Linked DNA regions of Arabidopsis thaliana. The protein of the gene in region 4 interacts with the protein of the main gene of each other region in a pairwise test. Each region holds a gene or a part of one and is shown on either strand. Other genes may lie near its edges.

Region 1 (6,112 bases), on a different chromosome or scaffold from region 4:
GGCTATTCCTTGGTGTTGCTGGTGATGGCGGTGTCAAGCTTCCTGCTGACGAGTCCTTTGTTCCATTGGTCATAGACATTTCATTCAAGATATTCAGTTCATCCAAAGAAAATGTATTCTGTGAACGAGGAACGCAATCAAGCATGTCATCTGAACATCTCTGAGAGATTTCATCCAGATCTTCTTGTCTACTGGAATTTGATAATCTTGCGCTATCAGCAACTGCTCTTGGAGTTACGCTGCTCTTTGGCGTCCATGACTCCAGAATTTTCTCAAGACTTTCAGCTACTCTTTCAAGTCTTAAGTTTACATTTATTCCCTTCAAGTCACATCTATCAGCGATTGTGCATATTCGAGAGTGCTCTTCTACATGTACAACTGGTATTTCAACTTCACAGATACGACAAATCATAGAATTATCGTATGTCACACATTGATGGTCCGCCCAGAAACCCCACAAAGCACTTCTGTCTGCAGATGCAGGCTGGCCTGACGGGCTATGCAAGTTTTCAGCGTTTTCATCACCATAAACTTTTGGTTGGATTTTGCTCTCCCCCTTAGCCTTGGGAGTGTTATTAAGACTACGGTTTTTCTCGGCAGCAGATGGAAGCTTCTTCCAAGATGACATCCGAAAATTGCTCGAAGTTGAATCAGTACTTCTAGCAGTATTTACTTCCACTCCATCAGCTCCGCTGTTCGAGTTCTGATCATCTTGTTTACCAGCTAGATTTTGCTTTTCATTTATCTTTTGGATTTCCTTCTCTCGAAGAAGGTCCTGTTGTCGCGAGATTTCCACCATCTGTTCAGGATAAACTCCAAGATCACTTAGCTGGTGCATTCCCAGAATGTGTTCTTCAACATAACCACTCTCTTTACGAAATTGCACAAGCCTATTGCAACGAGTAAGAATGAAAAGAAGACGATTATGAGCCTGTTTCAGTCCTCCCATGGGTAGCTCCTGACGTTTATCATCAAGCTTCTGAACAATACCTTCACATTTCAACCAAAACTCACTAGCTGGCATGGTTGCACATTGCCGAGCCTCAACTAACAAATCCTCTAGACCCACTCTTAATTCTTTGTTAGATTCTGGTGTGCTCTCTAGAGTTGTCACTAAATAGCCAGCAAAAACTCCTAAATCAGCATCAACATCTTCCTTTTGCTTATCAAACTTCGTTCTGATCGCCGCCATAATCTCCTGTAAAACGTTCCACAGATTGCATCAACCAAATGAGCAGAACTTATCAGAGGTGAGAAGAAGCATCAACCAACACTAACCTCCATGTGACCAACTGCGCGAGATCTCCACACGGGAAAAGGTCGCACACCTTTAGAATTAAGTTCATGAGAGAAGCTCTTAATGTCATGAGCTTTCTTCTTCCTTCCACTTGTGACACGCAATATCGCCTGAAAACGTGGAGATTGTGTTTCCTTGGCAAGACCTACATGAGTACTCTGCATTCACAAGAACAACAAAAAAAACGAATCAGCAATATAAAATTTTCCAAGAATTTGAAAAACAAACATAGAAGAAGACATTCACCTCTACCCCTGGATTTGAATTTGCAGGCACTCGTTGAGATTTTGATTGACTCCACTGAACTTTTTTCCCTAAAAGACAAAACAACAAACACCTCCTGATCATTAAGATCCTCTGAATCATCATCATCTAAGTTGAATTTTCGAATTCATAAATCCTAAATCGAATCAACGAGAAATCTACCTTGATCGGGTTGATGTGGAGGAATCGGCCATCTGGCACGAGCATCAGCACGAGCATCAACAACACCAACCCTCGGTTTCTCCTTGGCGACGTCTTTATCATCTTGACCCGGAGATATCAAAGGCGTGGCAGATGAAAATCTCAAAGGAGACGGCGCAGGAGACGATTTCGTTCTGATATGATTCAAACCTAAGGAAGAAGGAGCAAGAATTTCCGGCGAATCGTGACTCATCGGACCTTCCCCAGCTAATTCCGTAGTAACCTCGTCCGTCTTCGCTTGTTCATCTTCTCCTTCCTTATCCGAATGGCGGAAAGGAATCGCAGGGATCTTCTTCAGAAGCTTCGCATTGGTGGAAGTCGGAGTAGATATGGTGGTCGGTTGTGGATCCCGATCATTCTCAGGCGACGGTTCCGTCGTAGACATTTGTTATTAATAGAAAAATTTGTGGAGAATTATTTGAATTTTCATATTTACACTCTTTTAATTTTTGTTTGTTTGTTTGTTTTGTGATTTTATCAAAACATAACGATTACAGAGAAGCGGTTGCGAGAGAGAGAGAGAGAGACTGAGGTTTTCGCGGGAAGTGGGGGACTCCGTTTTTACTACTTGATGCAAAAATTGGCTCATTCGCCATTTTTTTTGTTCTTCTTGCAGATAAATAAATTTGACTATTTACATCTAAATTTTATGGTAATTTGTTATCTTTAATTCAATATGACTATAGTTATAGTATGATACTTCTATTTGATGTTAACTTAATATCTTTAAATTATAAAGATTTGCTGTCAACAAAAAATAATTCTAAATTAGTTCCAAATTCAAAAGTCAGACAGAGATTTTATTATGGTTGTGATTTGTGATTATTCGTTGTATTCTTATATCCATAGTGCTAAAGTTATAATTTCTGACTTTATTATTCTTACAACACCTTAAGTTATTAATGAATGGTGATATTTTATGATTTGTATAGTTCTTAAAGAATAATCATGTGGGAGAGTGTCCATATCGAAACTACGTGCTTCCAACAAATGCATGTCTTCCCCATTTTCTAGAAATAACAAAGAACTTAATTTTTTTTTGTTTAATTTTAAAAAATAGCCGTTCGTGATGTTTTCTCTGGGTTGACTAAAAAACACGGTACCAAGATATTTTTGGTTAAAACTTCTAAAAAATATTAATTTGTTTTTTATAATAACACGTTTATTCATTACAAAAATTTATGTAATTAAATCAAACATGGTTTGTATTTTTTAATAAAATGAATTGTTTTCCAAGTAATTGGGTCAAAACACAAAAGAAAAATACAGAGCAAATATTTTTGTAGTTATTGGGCTGAATATTGTTTGGGCCCAACAAGTCCATATAAATTAGGGTTTTCATATTAAATCAACCGTCTCTTAGGTTAAATCATTCGACTCCTTCCTTCCTTGCAGCAAAAAGCAATCCGCCGTCGAGCTTCGTTCGTCTCTCAGGTTCTCTTCACTTGATCCAAGTTTTAATATTTTTCATGTTTACATGAGTTTATCGGATCATTTGTTAATGTGATGGATTGGTTGGTGTGTTTGTGATTGTTTTCAGAAGAAGCTGCAAATATGGCGACAGCGTATCAACCAATGAAACCAGGGAAGGCTGGTTTGGAAGAGCCACTCGAGCAGATTCACAAGATCAGAATTACTCTCTCCTCCAAGAATGTCAAGAACTTGGAAAAAGGTCTTTCTTTTTTATCCTTTTATTTTGATTATCTTATCATTTCGCTTCAGCAATTTAGTTTTGAGCTGCTTTCAAAACCGTAAAGAATGTTTGAGGATTCAATGTTTTCCTAGTTTTAGTGAATTTTGAAGGTTTAGTTTTTTCAGTAGAAGATGATAGATTTATTGACTTCGATTTGCTTCAGTGATGATTCGAATGGTTTGAGAGTGGACATTTTGATACTGATTTATTGTTATTGTTCTGTTTCTACAAAATGATATGTAGTGTGTACTGATTTGGTTCGTGGAGCTAAGGACAAGAGACTGAGAGTTAAGGGTCCAGTCAGAATGCCCACCAAGGTTCTCAAGATCACTACCCGTAAAGCTCCTTGTGGTGAAGGTATGATGATTATGCTCATCTCATCTTTTATATTGCCTTCAGAATCACTAGAGCTTGTTGTTGGAACCACTCCCTTAGTTCATTTGCTCTATTAAACCTAGGATTTAGGTCTTAGAATTTGTGATTGTGCTCAATACTGTTTTATACTCTGTCACTGCAAGTGTCTTCACATTTGCTGAAACTCTCTTAACTATTGGTATTGTAAACAGGAACCAACACATGGGACAGATTCGAGCTTAGGGTACACAAGCGAGTTATAGATCTTTTCAGCTCTCCTGATGTGGTCAAGCAGATCACCTCCATCACCATTGAACCTGGTGTTGAAGTTGAGGTCACCATCGCTGACTCGTAGATCAACCCTTCTGTGGCTTTGGTATCTCTTTTCAAATTCTCTTAAGAAACAATCTTCTTTTCCCGTAACGACATTCCTTTTGAGTTAAAAAAAAAACAAATGTTTTGTTGTAGTGAAACCCAAGTTCTTATGTTTTCTTAATTTAATAGATTTTGAATTTTTTAATTAGAAGTTCGTCCTTTATTCTTAACTTGAGATCTTTTGACCCTCTCGATGACATAACTCTGTATGAAGTTACCAACTTGCTATCTCATTTCAAATTGAGAGATCTATTACGAGAAAGATTAAAGTTTAATCAGCCATAAATTGAAAAGCTAAGTATCACGAACATAATACTTTATCGTTGAACATAATACAACTCTTTCATCGTTAAAATAACACAACTACTATGTTTTCGAGTACAATTGTGAAGAGTCTAGTGATCTTTGGTCTCACTTTCATGAACCATCTCTTCAGCATCCTCAAACCTCTGATCATTGATTTGGAGCTGCAGTGTGAATACAAAAGGCAGATGAAACCACGCTCAATTTTTTAAAAACAAAAAAAGAGGAAAAATTGAAAGCAGAGTTTTGTAACTTTGTATTACCTCAAGCATAGGCTGATTAAGACCTTCATCTCCATTGGAATGACCAATTACACTAGTCGGACTCTGAGATATTTGCCACTCTGCATCATCATCTGTTGCAAACACATAGAAAACCATCACATTTCATTCGTACCATTCAAGATGAATACATTAACACACTCTTTAATTCGGTCTAAGTCATATGAAAACATTAATTACCTCCTCCACGAACATCCATCTGATCAGCACTAAACACCCAATTATGTCCGCTTTCTTCTTCTTCTTCTGAAAGATGCAATGAAACCAAAGATATAAATGGCTAGGTAACCAAAAAATGCAATTAGTGATACTATTAAACCAGTAATTATATGTTTTACCTTGAACTGGTTCAGGATTCAGCTCAGCACACTCGCAGAATACATCAAACAGCGTCTCCACTTTCATATGACAAGACAAAACGATATATCAGCTTAATAATATCCAAGACTCTTATATAATGAAACAGCCGATTCTAATAGCTCTAAAGATTGCTACATAACAACTCACACTGGGTAGAGTCAGAAGGAACAAGCCTCATCTCTCTGATCTTTGATAAGTCCAAAACTTCAGTGGATTCTGAATCAGACTCATCATCCTCATCTTCTTCAACTTCAATCTTCAAAACATTAAACCAAAAACTTAGCAAAATGAGAACAGAAAAGACTTAATCACACCTCTCAAATCCAATTAAAACGTGTAAGCCACTTTCTCAAATTCCAGCAAGCACTTGCAACAAGCAACATTACAGTACAGGCCTAAGAACTAATCACAATCAACGAGAACAACACTAATTCCCTTTTAAGCTACCAAGTCTAACAAAACCCAGAAAAATTGCAAGAGTTGAATACCTGAGTATATATACAAGGAGATGAATAAGCCTCAGGATCTCTAGAAACAGCGTGAAGCGATATTGATAAGAAATCAACTGCGTATCCTTTAGCCATGTCTACATCGCTCAGCCAAATTAATTTCCTGAAATCAAATCACAAAATTAAGCTAAGACATTTATCTCAATCGAGAAGGACTAGATTTTGAGTTAATTTTTGTACCTGGAAGTGATGTAGAGAGTTCCGGGAGACTCAATGGGACGGTTTCCGAGAGCGACGGCGACGGAAGTCTGAACGTGCATAAGTTCCTCGCCGTTAGATTCATCCAGTACCGGTTTCCCGGAGCCATCTTCGGTTCTGAGCGTGAAATCTCTTAGACCAGCCACCATTTTTTCCGATCACAAAGAAAGAATCGTCAAAAAAAACAGAGATTTTCAGGCAGGGTTTTTCTTAGGGTTTCTCAGAGGAATGATTTGTTACGTTTACTGATGAAGAACACTACAAGGCTTTTGACAAA
Region 2 (6,176 bases), on a different chromosome or scaffold from region 4:
AGTCTATCAGATTCTTCACTTCTGAATCAAGCTTCCAAAGGTTCTTCAAGAACTGCAACAACAAAAGCATCTATGAGTTAAAGGTTCTTTGTATGAAGCAATTGTTACTTGAACAAACATCACAAAAACCTTTTCTCTTTGTTGAAGTGGTTTCATTGGAAGCGACTGGTGCTTTTGTTGGCACATCAGGGAGATCCATTTTCTCGGGTTCTTCAGGCATGAGCTCTGTCGTAGGCACTTCAGGCATATCTTCAACAATCAGCTTCAAAACAAACAAACATTATATATCACATTTGACTCCACTCAAGAAGATTGTTTCACAAAGTAAATGGTGGTACTCGAAACATCAATAGGGCAGTACGGTCATAATGCTGGAAACAATTGTATCTGAGAAACAAGAGAATCCATTATGTAGCATACCAGACTTTCTAGGTTGTCGAATTCTGCTAAGATCTCTTCTTCATCTTCCGCTGATAGTTTCTCACCTAATATGGCACTCAGTTCCTAAAATCAAAGTGTTTAACAGTTAGATCAAGCAAGGGAATACTCATAACCATGAAGGAGAAAAACAAGGAGAAGCTCGGCAAATGTGACAAATGATTGTAACTATAAGCGAACCACACAAACAAAAAGGAACAACAAGATTCACTATTAACTCACATCCTGATAAGCCTTGGCCTCGGCAGTGTCATCCATCAGTTTTTGAACATCATCAAGGTTGACCTCGCTCTGAATCGCCTTAATTGCATTGTTACCTTGCTTTAAGCTCTCAAAGACTGCTTTTTGCTTGCTTGTAAGTTCGATATCTGCCAACTGAGTCATAAAGACAGGTTCAAAATATATTCGTTTATGTTTCTTTCAAAACATAAAATCAGCTATAAAAGAAAAGAAAAGTACTGTTTATATAGCACTAAGGTTATGTGATGGAAACAAGGAGATGATAAGAAGAAGGTCAAGCCAATTTACTTGTTGTTCGACATTGATGAGCCACTGATCTACTTGCTTCAACAACTCTTCTTGTGTCCGTTTTTTCTTCAATGCTAACAAAGCCCTGTCCTTTCGCTTCTCACGGATTAAGTCTCTTGCAGCTTGCTTTTCTGCTTCAATTACTTTCTCAAGCTAAAAAGAAAGGTTTAAGAGAAAGAAAGGTCAAAGCTCAGGATCATAGGAAAGAAAAAAAAAACATTTGCATTCCACTTTCTCAGCGATCAAACTCACTATCTACCAATAGTGGCGATGAAATAATTAAACCATCATTAGCTTGACATAAGAATCAACATTTGGATCCAAGACAGATTCTGAAGGCAACTTCTACATTTAACTGCTTCTTAAACCTCGAGAACCCATAGCCGAAATTCAGTAACCTTTACCCTTATTCATAACCATTAGTGAATCGAATCAAACTGCACTTTCTGTCTCAGACCAAATTCGAGCAAGAATAAACCCTAGAAATGCGAAATCACAAGGCGAAGGAATCAAGAACCTGTTGCTGATATTGACCAAGCTTGCGCCTTTGGGTTTTGAGAGAGAGAATCGCTCGATCAACCTCCGTGATCTTCGGTTTCTTCACGAATAAATTCCCCATCGAGTTTTGTCAAGGGTTCGGCGATTTCAAACCAAGTCCAAATCTTTTTGTTTTCACCTTTCCCAAGCAAAAAAGCTCCCGCGTTTTCTCAAATTCGCGTTTATAAAAAAGCGTTCCGAATCAAAACAACTGTCACAGTTCTAATTTTATCACACGCTCTGCAACAGCGCGTGGTCGGTGAACACATTAACATAAATACGCGAGAAGAGACGCGCCGATTCATTTTTCTTCAGAATCTCTCAATTCTCTTTTGTCGATTTCGCAGTAGAAGAGTCCTTTCGCCGTCTCCGAGAAACTCGTTGCAGCGTCACGACCAGGTTTCCTTCTCACTTTTACTAAATTTTGTAATTGCTCGGTTTTTTGTTTAGTGCGAGTTTACTCTGGTCTGAAGAGAACATTTTGGGTCTGCTTATTTACAGTTGGAGAAAATGTCTTCTAGAGGAAAAAGGAAAGACGAAGATGTCAGAGCATCAGATGACGAATCTGAAACCCACGCGCCGGCTAAGAAAGTCGCAAAGCCAGCAGACGATTCCGACCAGTCTGACGATATCGTCGTCTGCAACGTTAGTCTACACTTTCTGTCTATCTTTCAATTTCGTTATCTACTCTATTAGCAGTGAGCTTATGGGTTTCGGTCAAGTTTTAATTTTGTTGATGTGTTTTGCTCAAAATTAGGGTTTTAATCAAATTAGGGTTCATGTTGGTTATACATCAGATATCTAAGAATAGGAGAGTCTCTGTAAGGAATTGGAACGGGAAGATTTGGATTGACATTCGTGAGTTCTATGTCAAGGACGGAAAGACTTTGCCTGGCAAGAAAGGTAACTTTATTTTGTAATTTAAACCAATGCCCCTTGGCTCTCATAATTCATTATTTCTAGTAATGTGTTTCCTCATCTCTTAGTTTTATATTTCGTTACTGTTTTGCTTTGTTAAGTTTCTGCATTTAGTCAGGTTTATAGAATTGCATATCTTAGGGTTTTATAATAGGCAATTCTGCTTATTGAGACTGTTTATGGACTTGTAAGTATGAGCGGAGATGGTGCAGAGTGTTTGCTTTTGTACAACAACGTTTTGTTTATTTTGGTGCTATTGCTCCTTCATGTCTTTCTCTAGAGACAGCTATATTAGTTTATCTCTACATAACTAATCATGTTGACAAGATTATCTCTATGTTTGTTATACGTTGCAGGTATCTCTCTAAGCGTGGATCAGGTACTCACATCTCTTTCTATCTCTCTCCACTGTTTTATGTCTCCTAGAAGTGTTTCTGTTTTCTTGTTATTTGCTTATTACACAGCTTTTCCTTAATGCAGTGGAACACTCTTCGGAACCACGCAGAGGATATCGAGAAGGCCCTCTCTGACCTTTCTTAGGTTTTAAAACTTGTATCATTGGTTGTACGTCTATTAGAATATGGCTCAGTTGTTTTGGTTGTTTTTGTAGAACAACACCATGTTCTGCTAGTGTAAGCTGCTTCAAATTAGTTGGTGTATGGAATCTTTCACTTTTGGTTCAGACAAGCTTTGGTTGGTATTAAGAATATAATGATTGCTCTTTTATTTACTGCTGTAGTGCTGTTTTATTTGCAAATTAAGATACGTTGCAGGAATACAAGTATTCATTTGATAAGTTATAAACAAGATAGGTCTAAATGTTACATAGCTCTTGCCAAACTTCACTTGATCCGGACAAGGCCATAAGCAGACATTGTCTTTGAAGATGAACCCATCACAATAAATGTATCACTCTGTGTTGCTACTTTCATTGCTATAGTTGCTCTTTTCCAAAGAATATTTACCTTCCCAAAAAACTCCCCCGTTTTAAGTTTGGCCGCGCGTGTTCTCAAACTGTGCGCTTGTAAAATGGCGTTCCGAATCTGATATCACAGTTGTAATTCGGTGAACGCAGTAGATATATTACGCGAGAAAAGGAGAGAGGTGCTTTTTATTTAACTTGAGAATCTCAAGAGTCAATTTTTGCAGTAGAAGAGTGTTTTTTTTAGAGGTTAAGAAAATGTCTGAGAACGGAAAAAGGAAAGACGAGGATGTCAGAGCATCAGACGACCGCGACGAATCTGAGACCCACGCGCCGCCTAAGAAAGTGGCAAAGCCAGCGGACGAGATTGAGGACATCTTCATCTGCAATGTTAGTCTCTCTACTATTCATCTCTTTTTTGTCTGTAGCAGTTCGTATGAGTTTTAGGGTTTGGATCAAGTTGTGATATTTGTTTATGATGTTATGTTTTGTTTACATTCCAGTTAGATAAGAATCGGAGAGTCTTTGTGAGGAATTGCAATGGGAGGATTTGGATTGCCATTCGTCAGTTCTTTGTCAAGGACGGTATAACTTTACCTTGTAATAGCAAGCAAGGTAAATTTTTGTTTTTAACTACATATCTTCTTTTGACTGTCTCTCTTCTTCTCACAATTCCACATTTGCTAATACTCTGTATCCTCCTCTCTTTTCTTTTTTATGGTCAACAATGTATCCTCATCCCTTTGTTTTCATGTTTTGTTTCGTTAAGGTTCTGCATTTAGTTAGCAGATCTTAGGGACTTTTATTATATATCTAGTACTTCTGCGGTTTGGGACTGAGAGGAGGAGATGCGCAGAGTGTTTTCTTTTCATCAACAACGTCTTGGTTTTTGTCTCCTAGGGCCAGCTATATTAGTTTGCTTTCTTTGCATAATCATGTTGACAAGATTTTCGATGTCTCCTATATGTTGCAGGTATCTCTCTAAGCCTGGAACAGGTATTCACATCTCTCTTCCATTGTTTATGTCTTCCACACGTGCATATGTCCTGCTTATTACACGAGACCTTTTTCTTAATGCAGTGGAACGATCTTCGGAACCATGAGGAGGATATCGATAAGGCCCTCTCTGAGCTTTCTGAGGTTTAAAAGCTTGTGTAATCGGGTATTGGAAGGTGGCTTTGGTTGTTTTGGTTTGTTTTTCAGAACAACACCATGTTCTGCAAGTGTTAGCTGCTTCGAGTTAGTTCATGTGTTGAATCTATTATTTGATGTTGATTACTCTTTTATTTGATGTTGGATTTACAACTTGAGATACGTTGCAGGAATACAAGCATTCATTTTGATTAGTTATAAATAATATATATAGGTGATCTAAATGATAACATAGCTCTTGCCAAAGTTTACTTAAATGATCCGGACATTGTGCTAGAGAGCTGGGACACTGAGCGATCCCACGTCAAGAACTCTGTGCAATATCTGCAGCAAACCAATCACGAAATGACAAATTATTAAGGCTGACAATCATGAAATAATATGGATATTTAAGGCATTTTCAAGGCTGAAGGAAAGGGAAGAGCTTTATGCTATGCTCATACCTCACCAACCCTAGCATTGATTTTCAATGGAACAATGTCATCAGCTCTTGTTTCGCCTATATTTACAATTGCGGTCATAGCACCAGCCTCATGAGCCGCTCTGCAAAAGGTATATAGAAAGCTTCTTAGTAAGATGCAAACTCAAAACTGGATGATTATTCTCCTGCATCACCTGCAAAGGCGAAAAGCAGACATTGTCATTAAGGATGAACCCAACACGAGGAATGCATCGCTCTGTTTTGCAACTTCCATTGCTTGAGTAGCTCTTTCCTTCGGGATGTTGTCTCCAAAGAAAATTACCTTCAATTCAACGAGAACATAATAAGAAACAGAGCTAAACTGATTCGTCTCTATCTGATTAAGTCAATCTTACATCAGGCTTTAGGACTCCTTTGCACTTCTCACATACTGGTATATGAAAACCCTCTTCCCAAAACTTTTCGTCAATCTCGATATCACCATCAGGCCTTTGTTTCATGCCAAAGCTCTTCTCTGATCCTGGATCTCCATGATCAATACTTTCTATAGCTTCAGCCCACTACAGTTGAAACAAAAACGTTGTAACTTTGCGAGATGATACATTAATCCAGTTTATTCAGGTTATGGTATACACTGGCCTTAGGATTGATTGCTTTTAGCTGATCCTGAAACAAGTCTCGGGGAAAAGAGAAGCCGCACTCTAAGCACATAACAGTATATACTGTGCCATGTAATTCAAGTGGATCGCTCCCAGCACGATGATGCAACCTAACAACTTAGAGCTTAGAGTCAACATTCTTCACATCCAACAGAGATCCTACGGAAGAGGAACTGAAGGATATACCTGTCAACATTTTGTGTGATCATAAAATTTATTCGTCCAGCTTTTTCTAGTGATGCTAAAGCAGTATGAGCTGGTCCTGGTTGTGCTGCAGTGAACCTCCTCCATCCAGCGTAACTCCTCGCCCAATACCGCCTACGAGCTCGGCTTGATCGAGTAAACTCCTGTGAAGGAGGTTGTAGACAATAGATTAATACAGTTATACAATAGTAAAATGATCCAAGGTTTGCATTAAGAACTGTAAAGATTTCATAGATCTTGCCTTCAGATCACCTGATGGGTAATTGGTTTGAAACCAGAACTGTATGCTCCATTGGGACTGCACCAAATCATCAAATGGAACCACATGTAACCCATGAGACCATCAAAACGAGAATGCAAGGCATCTTCAGACAAGACTAATCGATCAAATGAATTA
Region 3 (5,796 bases), on a different chromosome or scaffold from region 4:
ATTATGGTTGGGAGAAGCAGAAGTGAAGGCATTTAAAGCAGGATCTACCAAAATTCCATGTAAAGGACGGTAATGACGAAAATGCAGATACACCCAATTTTCCATCGCCAATAATTTTCTTTGAACACGTGTACGTATGTCTCTATAACTAAACTTTGGTTTTTCATGAATTTGGGGTTAAAGAGTTTTTAACACTAATTATGGAACCAATCCATCTTTTTCTCGGTTATCTAAACACGTGTTCAATATTACTACAAACTTGGAGATTATATCCTTTTGTGGAAATAGAAACTTGGAGTTACTTTATTTCCTCTTATAAATTGGTTCCATCACGTCCCCAATTATTGACGAATATTTAGCTTTTCACAAATCCGAAAATTAGTGTGGATTTTGGTCCTCAGATTTCCGTTATTACACAAAATGTTGCCATACTCGATATTGATTAATCAGTTTCATATCGATTAAACTAATGCAAGATTTAATAAGTAAGAATATAGAAAAACTTAAACTTCAAGTACTCTGAAATTTCATATAACGTTGTTGCCTGCGAACATAGTACAGACAAACCCATATAACAAGAACACCACAATAGAAAAAGACAAGAAATTAAAAACTCTAAAAACAAACATTCGAACATCTTATTTAATATTAATCTCATCCATTATATAATAAGGATTCGAAACTTCCGGTAGTAGCATCATCTCACCGTTGCTAGCTCATCACCTCACGCTGCAACCACATATATACAAATTAATATAACACCGTTAATATAACCTTTCGAATATTTAACCCCAAAAAGAAACAAATTATAGCTTAAATATCTGAGAGAGTGAGAGAGATTAACATACGTTTTGCAGTTGGTGCTGGTGCTGATTTTGTAAGGAATATTGACTCCACATGCCTTAGGAATTCCAGCTGCACGGCCAGCGTTGAGACCAGAGCCTAAGGCTCTAGCGGCACCTTGAATGCAATTGCAAGCTTGCTGACGGTCTGGGGTCGTCTTGGCTATGCTGTTGAGGTTTTTAACGCCGGAGCAACACGCTGGGGGAATGACACCACCTTGGAGCACGTAGCCAATGCACGCTGCCAAGTTGCTGTTAACTGAGCCACAGCTTAGCGCAGCGTTCGATGTGATTGGACCGGCCACAATCATGCAGGCCAAGAGCAAGCATGCCAACTTCATCACTCCAGCCATATTGATCTCTTAGGTAGTGTTTTATGTTCGTTTGCAATAGGAGATGTGTGTAGTGATGGATGATGAAGAGAGTTTGGGGAGTGAGTGTTATATAGAGTAGGTACGTATATGTTATGTGGTGTGAATGCGATAGATTATAGAGGGAAGGAGTAGTTGGTGGTTGTACTCATTTAATTTAGAGGTTCCTAATTCCTAACTATGTATAGGACCACTCATCTCTTTTGTTTGACATGTTAATTCAACTTTATCGTATGGAAAGTTATAATTCGACCAAAATACATTTTATTAACGTATTTGTAGTGTGACAGTGCCTACGTCCTTCTTTGCATTTTCATTGTTTGTTTTTGTAATTGTTTCAAAATTATAGGTGTGTAGATAGGAACATAGTTAGTTTACTTCTTTTTAAAAAAAATTAAAATCTCGTTTATCTAACATGAAAACTGCTTTACAAAAAGACCTGATGAAAAGTGATTATTTTACCAAAAAAATACATTTTACTAACGTACTCTCATGTTTTTTTCTGAATTTTTATAGTTTTGTTTATTTATGTATTTCGAAGACTTAAGTCTAGTTGAGAAATAGTTATTTTACAAACTATAGATGTGCTATATATTCTAATCGTCTAGTTTATCTTAACAACATATTATTCATATATATATTTGCATGTGTTTATCTTTTACATGACTCTAATAAGAATCATGCTATCCATTGTCAATAATATTTTCGACACGTGTACGTGTATAAGTTAACTTTGTTTTTTTTACAAAAGTCATTTAAATAAAACTGTTGTTAAGAGTTAGTACTAAGAAATCATTCTATCTTTATTTCGGTTATCTATTTTATTTCCTGTTATAAAATTATTTGAACGAATTCGTTTCTCTTCGGTATCATGCAAAGGGTAATTAATTTATTTTAAAAACTGTGTGTTGATGAGAGATTAACAATAAGATTATGATTGTTTGGATATAATGATAAAGATTTAAAACTTAGACATTTTTATTGATCTTAATTATAATAGCAAAAAAAAAGTAAATAACTTACATTTGGAAAGTCATGTTTTCGAATATACTGATCAACTAGTATTAGTAGATATCTGACTTTTATCATTATATAGTCCAAAAACTAGTGTGGACTTTGGTTTTGAGATTCCCGATATCAAACAAAAACAAAATGTTGTTTACTTGATACTTCCCAACTGTAATGCAAGTTAATCATTTTGGTCATATCGATTAAACTAAAGTAAGTGTTAGTATAGATATAGAGTATAGAATAACTTAAACTTCAAGTCTGAAATTCAAAGAACGTTGTTTGCGAACATAGTACAGACGATCACATAATAGAAACGCCACGATAAAAAAAGACAGGAAATTGAAAAGAGTACAGCCATTCGAACATCTTTATTTAATATTATCTCATCGATTATATAATATTCGAAACATCCGCTAGTAGCTTCATTTGACCGTCGCTCATCACCTCACGCTGCATTCACATACAAATTAACATAACAACGTTAATATAAGTTTCCAATATTTAACAAAATAAACTAAAAAATTTATAACATATACTTATAAGAGTGAAAAGATCACATACGTGTTGCAGTTGGTGCTGGCGCTGATTTTGTAAGGAATATTGACTTTGCATGCGCTAGGAAGTCCAGCTGCACGGGCAGTGTTGAGACCGGGACCAACGGCTTTAGCGGCAGATTGAAGGCAACGGCAAGCTTGCTGACGGTCTGGGGTTGTACTGGCCATGTTTTTAAGGTTAGTAACGCCGTTGCAGCACCCTTGGGTAAGTGGAGCACCTCGGGTCAAGTAGGCAATGCACCCTGCCAGGTTGCCGTTGACGGTGCCACAACTCATAAGCGCGTTCGCTGTGATTGGACCGGCCACAATCATGCAAGCCAAGACCATGCATGCCAACTTCATCACTCCAGCCATATTGATCTCTTAGTTAGTGTTTTACGTTGGTTTGCAAGAGGAGATGTGATGGATGATGAAGAGTGTTAGGGGAGTGAGAGTTTATATAGAGTAGGAAAGTACATCTTATGTAATGTGAATGCAATACCTAAATACTACTATGAGGGAAGGAGTAGTTGGTCGCTGTACTCATTTAATGTAGACCCATACGAATTTTAAAATTGGAATGTCACTAAAATATCGTCAATTTAACTAAAAAAGGCTGTTTTAGATAATAACGAGTGTGCAGACAATAATCTTTGGATTCTAAATTTAACGAAGAAGATAAGTCTATCTGTGACGTCTGGAAATCCCAATCCGACGGTGTGAATCTTTAACGAAAGCCTGAAACCCCAACGTGACTTTATGTGGACTACTACTAGCTTGAACAAACATTTGGAGATGTTAAAAAATTTCGAAGTAGAGATTTATCGTTTATGAATATCTTTAATTGTAAGATGAAAACAACGTTGTATAAGTTTTTTTTATCACTAATACTAGTACTTATCATTGTATTAGTTTTTTTTAATAATAAATTTCAGTGGATATACACAATATTATGTCGGTTTGTCCTGCCCTCCACAGGCCACGCCATAGATTGTATGTAGATGGTTCGTCATTATGTGAAAATTTGACTGATACACATAATAAATACTGAATGCATGACACATGGGTAGGATGGGGTCATTGTCGGTTTCGGCCTGAAATGTACAATTATTGGCTTTTGCTTTGCAAAACCATCACTCCATCGTCCCATAACTACTATAGTACTATTTCTAGTCTTATTTTGGTAAAACTAGGTGTTGTGTGTTTTTTATTGGTATGATGAGTCACTAGACTTTTCTTTGGTAAAATTTTACTTTATCTGTAGTTGGAGATCGAGAGTCAATGGTTGAGATGATCGTCGAACAATATAAAAATCATAAAGATTGTAGAAAGATTTAAAATATTAACATATATTAGTTTTAGTAATATTTATATATATTATTTACATTTATTTTTATTTTAGATTAGGAAATCTCATAATATATATATATATATATATATAAGAGAGAATATATCTTATAAAGTTATTTTTATGAGAATCTATTATAATTCTTTATTCTCATCCAACTTATCAAGTTATGTAGTAAAGGTGTTTTATAAGAACTAAAAAGTGTCAAGAAACACAATTAAACATGGAACGATCGACCATATTTTCTTGTAATAACAGACTTTTACAAATACATTTTTTATTTTATTTTCAACTGGTGTTTTTCCGGTCCGGTGATGTGTTTAAATGTCGTCTATTTGGCTAAAGAACACGTCGTCAAAATAAGCTTTTAAAAGTTTCATTCATGTTTAATCATTTTCTGTTTAAGAAGAACAGAAAAATCGTATTTACTGTTTAAAATTTTTGTCGGTGTCTGAAAGGCTACATGATTATATACTTTTCCCTTATTTTCGGTAAAAACTTGATAATTAGGCACCGAAATGCCACATGCAACATATTATATGTACACCGAACACGTGTGAGCATAAAGTACATTGGTATAAATACATTACGATATAGCTACTCATACTTATTAAGGACCTCTCTATACGTGTAAGAAATTGCAGTATATTTCCTGAAACATGGTGAAAAATGAATGCCTCAAGTCTGAAATGAAAATGACAGTGATGTAGACGTGGAAAAGTATTAAGAGTGATTTTTTATCAATTAACTTTGATTCACAAAACTTATGATTAAGTTTCAAACGTAAAATGTAAAATGTAAAATGCTACACAATTTATGATGGATATGAAGAACAGTTGTCAAAGACTCAAAGTAGCTTATTTAAACTACTAAAACCACATATGATTAAATGGGGTTGGGTTTGGGCCGAATCGGGCTTGTTGCTTGTTCTATACACTATTCAAAGCCATTTGGATAAAACATCCATCTTCGTCACAACTGTTTGTTAAACATCCATTTGGTGGTGTGTCACGTCCTTCCATCTGATCAACAATGGGTTTGTAGTCTTCTGGCAGACCCCCGAGAATGTAATCAACTTGATCTTCATGGTCAATGATTTTGCCAATTAATGCCAACTGATCAAATCGATTGATAAAGCCTTGAACGTACTCGTCGATGGTGCGGGTGTCTTTCTTCCATTGTTTGATTTGGTGTTGGAGCTGTTTGATATGGCCACGACTCGGTTTGGCATAGGTACCAGCAAGAGTGGCCCAAACATCAGCAGAGGTAGCGGCGCGGGACACCGTTGGTTGGACGGTGAGAGAGAGAGTGCCGATGAGAGCACTGAAGATCAATTGATCTTGTCTACTCCAGGCTTCATACTCAGGATTCACAGAGGCAACGTCGTTGACGGTAATCTCACGAGCTGGAGCAGCTTTTGTCGCATCAAGGTATTGAGTGAGACCGTAGCCGTGAAGGAGAGCGTGGACTTGGCGGCTCCACATTATGTAATTGGAGGCCGTAAGTTTTGTCACATTCGACATGTTCATGTGAACAATGGAGGTGTTGTTGAGGTTGACGGTTTCAGAAGAAACATTCGACATGGTTGAAGTTTGAAAAACAGAGGAATAAAAAAATCAACGGGGGAGAAGAAGAAAGAAAGGAGAGAGGCGGCTGTTTTTAGGTTTTTTATTTTTAGGTATCGATGATGC
Region 4 (6,238 bases):
TTCAAGTATGCAACCAACAATCACAGTGTCTGGTATATATCTTTTAGAAAATGAAGTTTTCATCTGTTTTCTCTGTTTATTTCAGTTTCAGGTTTCACATAAAGAAAACTTACAATTTATAGTTCAATCAAGTTAAATGGCTCCTATTGTAGGAGAGTACTGAAGTTTTATGGGCTGGAAGCTTTTGGGTTGAGTTAAATGGCCTGAAAATTAGGCCTTAGATGTGTCGTGTTGCTTTCGTGATCCACAATTGCATTCATATATATATATATATATATGATGAGGAAAGTCAAGAAAATTTTTTTTGAAGAAAAAAACTAAACATATTATTGCAACTTCCAATTTGCATTAGACCCAATATTATATATTTACATCTAACACGTTTTGTGATTTTTAGATATTCATGCTTATCTATTTTCTGTTGACATCAGACAAAAATTAGCAAAACATTCTATTGTAATAGTTAATAATATGTGACTATACTACTATAGTATACAATTTTTGTTTAAGTTCTCTCTTTTTACAACCGTGAGATTCTTGGTCGAATTCATACCAATCTTCAGAATTTATGAAAAAGTATGATATTATTTTCATGTAAAACAATTACAATAACAAATCATACTTAAAAATGTTGTAGTTCGAACCATGATCCTTTAAGTAACATATGTTCTTCAAGCTCTATGGCCCACACAATAGTGTAGACCTTCTTCTTTTTTGGGTGTAAAATAGTTAGTAGTCTAGATAGTGTAGAACATATGTTACTTAAAGGATCTATATATCTATCCAATCATAATTCGTATATATAGGGAAACCTTCACATTTACGTTTACTTATCAGCCGTTCGTATAAAACACACAATGAACAAGATTTCTTAACCCAATCGTTGCTCAACTGCATGTAAGGCACTTGACATGAGCACATGGATATCTTAAAAAGATAAAGTCACAGTGCATGTATCGAAAAGGTCTCAAAGTACATTACCCTTTATTCTCTTTACATGGTTGAAGCCCTAAAATGTCAAATATATGAAAATTATGAAAATAAGAGGTTTTTAAACCATCTCTCATTCTCATTGTATAACAGTAAACATGATGAGACTCCATTTCTTATATACATAAATGTCACCTGTCTTCTCTTAGAAGCTCATTGAAGATATTTCACCACAAATCTCCTTTGGACATGCATTGGTCATGTACAAGCTTTTCCTTTCACTTGATTTTCTTTTTAAATATACGTTTTCATACGGTCCATACATAGTTTCCCTAGGGACTTGATGCATTCCTCATTTTCACACATCTTTGTACTTAAAGCCCCACTTGGCTGTGTTGTTATAGACTTTCCTAATCCTCTAAAAGGAAACTGATAAATGAAACTCTGGGACAAATTTTTCATATTTTGGTTTTGGCAGGTCATGTAATGTTCTCGTGTTTAAGCCATTAACTTGTAACCGTCGAAAAATCATGTTTATATCGTTGTAACGGGTGGGCGAATCTTTTCTTATAATCGACAAAAATATAGTATGCAATTATCACAGTAACCGCTGTCTTTAAAACAAACTCATAAAATTCTAAATAGTTATTTAGTTTTTCGTAAAATTTCTAAAGCGTTATTTACTTTTTGGTAGATTCTTAACGCGTTATTTTCGTGATTAATTGATAAAAACGAAGAAATATTCATATTGATCTCATCGAAATACAATGTAGAACTCAGTTGGGTGAAACATGTACTAAATCAGAGATTCCATGCGTAAACAAGATATTCAATCTAGAGATTTTCAAATCATAAAATCTCGAAGATTCATGTATGGTATCTAGATGAATTAAAAAGAACAAGATGTTTGATTTGTTGGTTGATTACTTGATAGACATAGTAACATAGATTGAGTGATTACCTTTGATAACTACTCAAAAAGGGGATTACACATACCACATCCATGATATATACAAGTATGAGCCATTTCAATATTTCTATAAAATGTACTCAATAACTTTTTTGTTATCCAATTACAAAGGTAACTAAGTGATATATAAAAATTGGCTTCTAATAGCACTTTTATTGTGAACTCAAGCATATAACAAATAATATATAGGGACAGCACGAAACCCTAGTGATTAAAAAAGAAGAGAAAATGCAGATGGAGAAGTATATCATCTCAAGACGAATTCAAATATTCATATATGATCAACTAAATTAAAAACCAAACGATCCCCAAACAATGAAGATGATTTTTTTTTTCTTTTAATTTTGAGAAATGAAATTTGGTTACAGCTATGTTACGGACATAATTTTCAATTCTAAAAGGCTGGTCTTGGTGGTGCGGCTGCGGCTGCGGCTCCCCAACCAAGCAAATGAGGATCACCGGCAAACTGATCATAACCACTCATGTTACCTCTTAACTGTCCTTGACCGGCTCCAGATGGTGGTGATGATGACGTGGCCGGCGGTGGACCACCTTCTCCTCCTCCTCCCTCTCCAACTTCTCCTCCCTCTCCACCTTCTCCTCCTTCATCTTCAAGGGGAAGCCTTTCGAAAGTTGCATTAGAGAACGATGCAGCCATTAGTATCACTGGACCCGAAGCCACAAGCGGAGCCACCACGTTTCCTCCAATCACCTGACCTTGAACGCCGGAAAGAAAGATAGAAAGACCACCGGATCCTGGCGGCGCAGGGGGCGGCAACACCGTACCTGTGAGGGAAAGTATCTCAAACCTTCCATGTAGAGCCACAACACCTCCGGTTCCACCATTTGCCCCATGAGCCGCTGTCGTTGCCGGCTGCCGGAGACTGACGTTAGCCACCGTGCCGTTACCACTGAGAATGGAGACTCCTCTTCCTCTCCTGCGAGCGTAAGTGGTAACGCTCTCGACTATGTCGGCTCCAGATGAGACTTCAAGAACATGAGATCTAAGCACGTTGGGGCTATCTCTAGTCACTATCACCGGTGGCTTCGGCTTGTTCTTGGATCCCGGAGGACGTCCACGTGGACGTTTCCCGGTTGAACCAGAGGTAACTGGGTCGGAACCCGGATCCTTGTTGGAGTCAGATTCATCATCTGAATTCTGCTGCTGAGGCTGAGGTTGAGGCTGAGGCTGAGGCAAAGGGTGAAGTTGAGGCTGAGGTTGAAGCTGGTGATGAAGCTCAGGCCTGAAGAGGTTGTGAAAGTATCTAGAAGCTCCTCCGGATTGATCGTAACCACCGTCCATGGCAGCCGCATCTACTGACTCTTCTTGTTCTTGTGGCTCATATATATAAAGATATTGTGAGGGTGAAGATAGAATTCATATAAGAGAAACTTTGAGATCCATTGGAGAAGTCAAATTTCAGGAGGTGAGGAGCCAATAGCTTGAGTTGATCGGTTACACAAGCCGACAAAAACAGAGCTAAGAGACACAAATCTAAAGGGTATGCTTTGTGTGTTAAACCCTAACTCGCTTTAGGGCAAGAGAGGAGAGATTCTTCACCCGAGACGGTGTCGTATTAATTGATGTGAAAGAATTCTAGGGAAGCTTCAAATTAATTCATGTGCTGAGACTGAGAGTGAGTGACTCTGCAAGTACTTTTTTTGAACGAGGAAAGGGAAAAAAAAAGCAATAGACACACCGAAAATTTAGCTGAATATCATTCCTTTCGCATTAAAAAATAAAATACGCATAGGGGCATATATTAATATACGAATAATTGCATATTAATAATATACTTGAAATCCATGAAAAGACAAGGGTTTCGAGTTTTTCTTCTCTGGATATATGCGTTTCCCTTTTTGGCATATAGCTTCAAACCAAGAAAATAAAGGAAAACTTTTAAGAGTTAAAATTTAAAGAAAAAGGAAATTAAGAAATTTACAATTTAAAAGCCAAAGGTATATGAATAGGAGATGGAAGAAACATGCTGATATTAAATTGTTGGAATTTTTTTTTATTTTTTTTGATAAAGTTGTTGGAAATTATTATATAGAAAACAAACGAGAAGTCTAAATATAAATTATTGTATAAGTTTTTGAAAGTTACATATCAAATTTGTCCGCATAATAATGCAGTATTCCCTAGAAACAAATGTAATACTCCCACCATTTATCATTATATGCTGTTTAAAGTTAATTAACATATAGTATTAAAATTTAATTAAAGTTTCACTTCTATCTTTCATTAATACACAATTATATTTCTTTCATCAGTTAATACGTTAGAAAAACATAGATTTTTTTTTTGTCAATCTGTTAGAAAAACATAGATAAGACATGAAATTTTAACAAAAAAAAATATTTGCATTGAAAATATAAAATAAAATTTATCCTGAAACAAAATTAAAGTCTTAAAACGACACTTAATTGAAACAGAATAAACAGATGACAAAAAGTAAAATAAAAGTGAATCAAAAATGTTAGCCATGAATCGAATTGCCTTGAAGCGTGTGCATGTAACGCCTTCCATTATGAATTTCATCATTTTCTTTAAAACCGAGATTCTACCTATTCAAAACTAAATTCAGTTTCAAAATGTTTTTGGTCTTGGTCATATATTCTAAAACTAATTAAAAACTATTACCATGAGTGAGTGCACTTCAATTTTTATTAAACTAATTATAAATTATTATTGATAGTAAAAAAAATATAGACCAAACTATTTATTATCAATGTATATTAACTTTCTAAGTTAGAAATTCATGAAATTCGATATAATCTACATAAGGTACCCCAAAAAAGTGTATACAGATTTTAAGTGGGATTTGTTTAAAATAAACATATAAAAAGCATCATCTCTCCAGTGACATGTGTTAAGTTTCTACATTGAAAATTTCATATTTACATCAAAAGTTTGAAAATATCAATATTATATAGGGTAATATTAGAAAGTAACCATGGAATTGAAAAGAATTGAGAGAATAGCCTTGTGTCAGGAAACTTAGGTAAATAACATTTTCTATGGTGGATAAAATACTAAAATATCCTTAGATTTTCTTGTTTTTACAAAAATATCGGTGGTTGTAGTTATAAAGTTTTTATGTATTTGTCTAAAATAATATGATATATTTACAAAAGAGCATGCAATTCTTTAAAATACATACAGAATATATATACACGATATATATGTTTCTCTGAAATAATGTGTTTTTCAGAAATAGCACGAAATATTTATAAAAAGCATGCAATTCTCTTATAGATTGCGAAATTTAAAAAATTACAATATTACATGGGTTTTTATTGGATAACATGACAAATATTTATTTATTTCATGAGTTTTTGTTGGATAGCATGACAAATATTAATATATTAGTGTTAATAACATGTTTTGTTCTTAAAATACATGCATTTTAAAATCAGATATTTGTTTTAAAATCAAATTTAATCTCTTATATCACAACGACATTGACGGAGAATTCAGGTAAAAAGAGAAAATAAAGAATGAGAGATAGAGAGATTTCTATGGAAAAAGAAAGAGAGAACATGTGGGTGAACAAAAATAAAGAGATATGATGATATATTTTATGAGAGGTGGTGAAGATTATTTTAGGAGAGGGAGAGAGAAATAGAAAAAGAAAATGACATGGTGAATCTGAAGAAGATGAATTGTGTTAAAGATGAAAAGAGAAAGAGAACTCTATGGCTAAAGTCTCGTAAAGAACATGAAAAAGAAATAAAAGAAGGAAGAAGAAAGAGAAAGGCTAAAATAGACTAAATATTGCCAAAATTTCTGTAACCGACAAGTACTATTTGGTTCTAAGTTATTTTGTGTATTCTTTTCAACTCAAAGGTTATTTCTTACATATAAATATGAGTCAAACCATTCTTTGCTTTTTTTGCAATTTATGAAACACATTTTTAGTATGTTAATAATTATAATCTAAATGTCTTTTAAATTTTATCAAGTATAGAAAAAATTAAGACGTTTTTTTTTTCTCTTTTTTTCCTGTCAACGATGTTCATTGGACCTCCTCTCTCAGTCTTTTGCTAAGAGGTGGAACTTAACATTTATTACACTATGCGATAATGTATTGCAAATTAAATGTCTTTTCAGTATTCTAACATAGAAGAAAATAATGATCGAGATTCATTAGTTTTGTAATCGAACTCTCGTGTTTAGAACACCACTTATTTTAACAGATTTGAGCTAATATGTTCATTCTTTCAAACGTTGAATATGAACTATATTTAGAAAACTATTGTTATACATAATTGCTTTCAACGTTTAGAATACTTTTAATTATTTAACCATACATTAGTTGGTTAATTAATTAACAG

What was found.
Region 1: the proteins of SOB3 (region 4) and AT5G62300 interact in a two-hybrid assay, tested with the Arabidopsis thaliana proteins (one large-scale study listed by BioGRID).
Region 2: the proteins of SOB3 (region 4) and KIWI interact in a two-hybrid assay, tested with the Arabidopsis thaliana proteins (one large-scale study listed by BioGRID).
Region 3: the proteins of SOB3 (region 4) and LTP2 interact in a two-hybrid assay, tested with the Arabidopsis thaliana proteins (one large-scale study listed by BioGRID).

What each region holds. Positions count from the first base shown.
Region 1 is NC_003076.8:25,019,440-25,025,551, reverse strand, and holds AT5G62300 (Ribosomal protein S10p/S20e family protein), read left to right. Parts: upstream 1-2,987; 5' UTR 2,988-3,196; intron 3,197-3,302; 5' UTR 3,303-3,316; coding exon 3,317-3,434; intron 3,435-3,698; coding exon 3,699-3,812; intron 3,813-4,021; coding exon 4,022-4,164; 3' UTR 4,165-4,352; downstream 4,353-6,112. Other genes in the region: IRE (AGC (cAMP-dependent, cGMP-dependent and protein kinase C) kinase family protein), read right to left, coding at 1-1,198, 1,279-1,455, 1,544-1,611, 1,724-2,147; AT5G62290 (nucleotide-sensitive chloride conductance regulator (ICln) family protein), read right to left, coding at 4,580-4,651, 4,751-4,842, 4,949-5,014, 5,107-5,166, 5,276-5,384, 5,617-5,740, 5,818-5,984.
Region 2 is NC_003076.8:2,872,206-2,878,381, reverse strand, and holds KIWI (ssDNA-binding transcriptional regulator), read left to right. Parts: upstream 1-1,772; 5' UTR 1,773-1,902; intron 1,903-2,004; 5' UTR 2,005-2,013; coding exon 2,014-2,148; intron 2,149-2,260; coding exon of another isoform or gene 2,261-2,300; coding exon 2,301-2,406; coding exon of another isoform or gene 2,407-2,423; exon of another isoform or gene 2,424-2,777; coding exon 2,778-2,896; 3' UTR 2,897-2,901; coding exon of another isoform or gene 2,902-2,961; 3' UTR 2,962-3,194; downstream 3,195-6,176. Other genes in the region: VPS20.2 (vacuolar protein sorting-associated protein 20.2), read right to left, coding at 27-52, 130-262, 421-504, 661-813, 967-1,119, 1,484-1,585; AT5G09240 (ssDNA-binding transcriptional regulator), read left to right, coding at 3,602-3,733, 3,847-3,958, 4,317-4,489; SRT2 (sirtuin 2), read right to left, coding at 4,769-4,819, 4,939-5,038, 5,111-5,238, 5,312-5,476, 5,556-5,685, 5,762-5,922, 6,032-6,077. UniProt on the Arabidopsis thaliana protein: General coactivator that functions cooperatively with TAFs and mediates functional interactions between upstream activators and the general transcriptional machinery. Binds single-stranded DNA.
Region 3 is NC_003071.7:16,125,817-16,131,612, reverse strand, and holds LTP2 (lipid transfer protein 2), read right to left. Parts: upstream 3,438-5,796; 5' UTR 3,133-3,437; coding exon 2,786-3,132; intron 2,675-2,785; coding exon 2,665-2,674; 3' UTR 2,214-2,664; downstream 1-2,213. Other genes in the region: LP1 (lipid transfer protein 1), read right to left, coding at 720-729, 849-1,195. UniProt on the Arabidopsis thaliana protein: Plant non-specific lipid-transfer proteins transfer phospholipids as well as galactolipids across membranes. May play a role in wax or cutin deposition in the cell walls of expanding epidermal cells and certain secretory tissues.
Region 4 is NC_003070.9:28,702,497-28,708,734, reverse strand, and holds SOB3 (Putative AT-hook DNA-binding family protein), read right to left. Parts: upstream 3,773-6,238; 5' UTR 3,204-3,772; coding exon 2,295-3,203; 3' UTR 2,044-2,294; downstream 1-2,043. Other genes in the region: AT1G76510 (ARID/BRIGHT DNA-binding domain-containing protein), read left to right, coding at 1-54. UniProt on the Arabidopsis thaliana protein: Transcription factor that specifically binds AT-rich DNA sequences related to the nuclear matrix attachment regions (MARs). Acts redundantly with AHL18, AHL22 and AHL27 in the regulation of flowering and regulation of the hypocotyl elongation.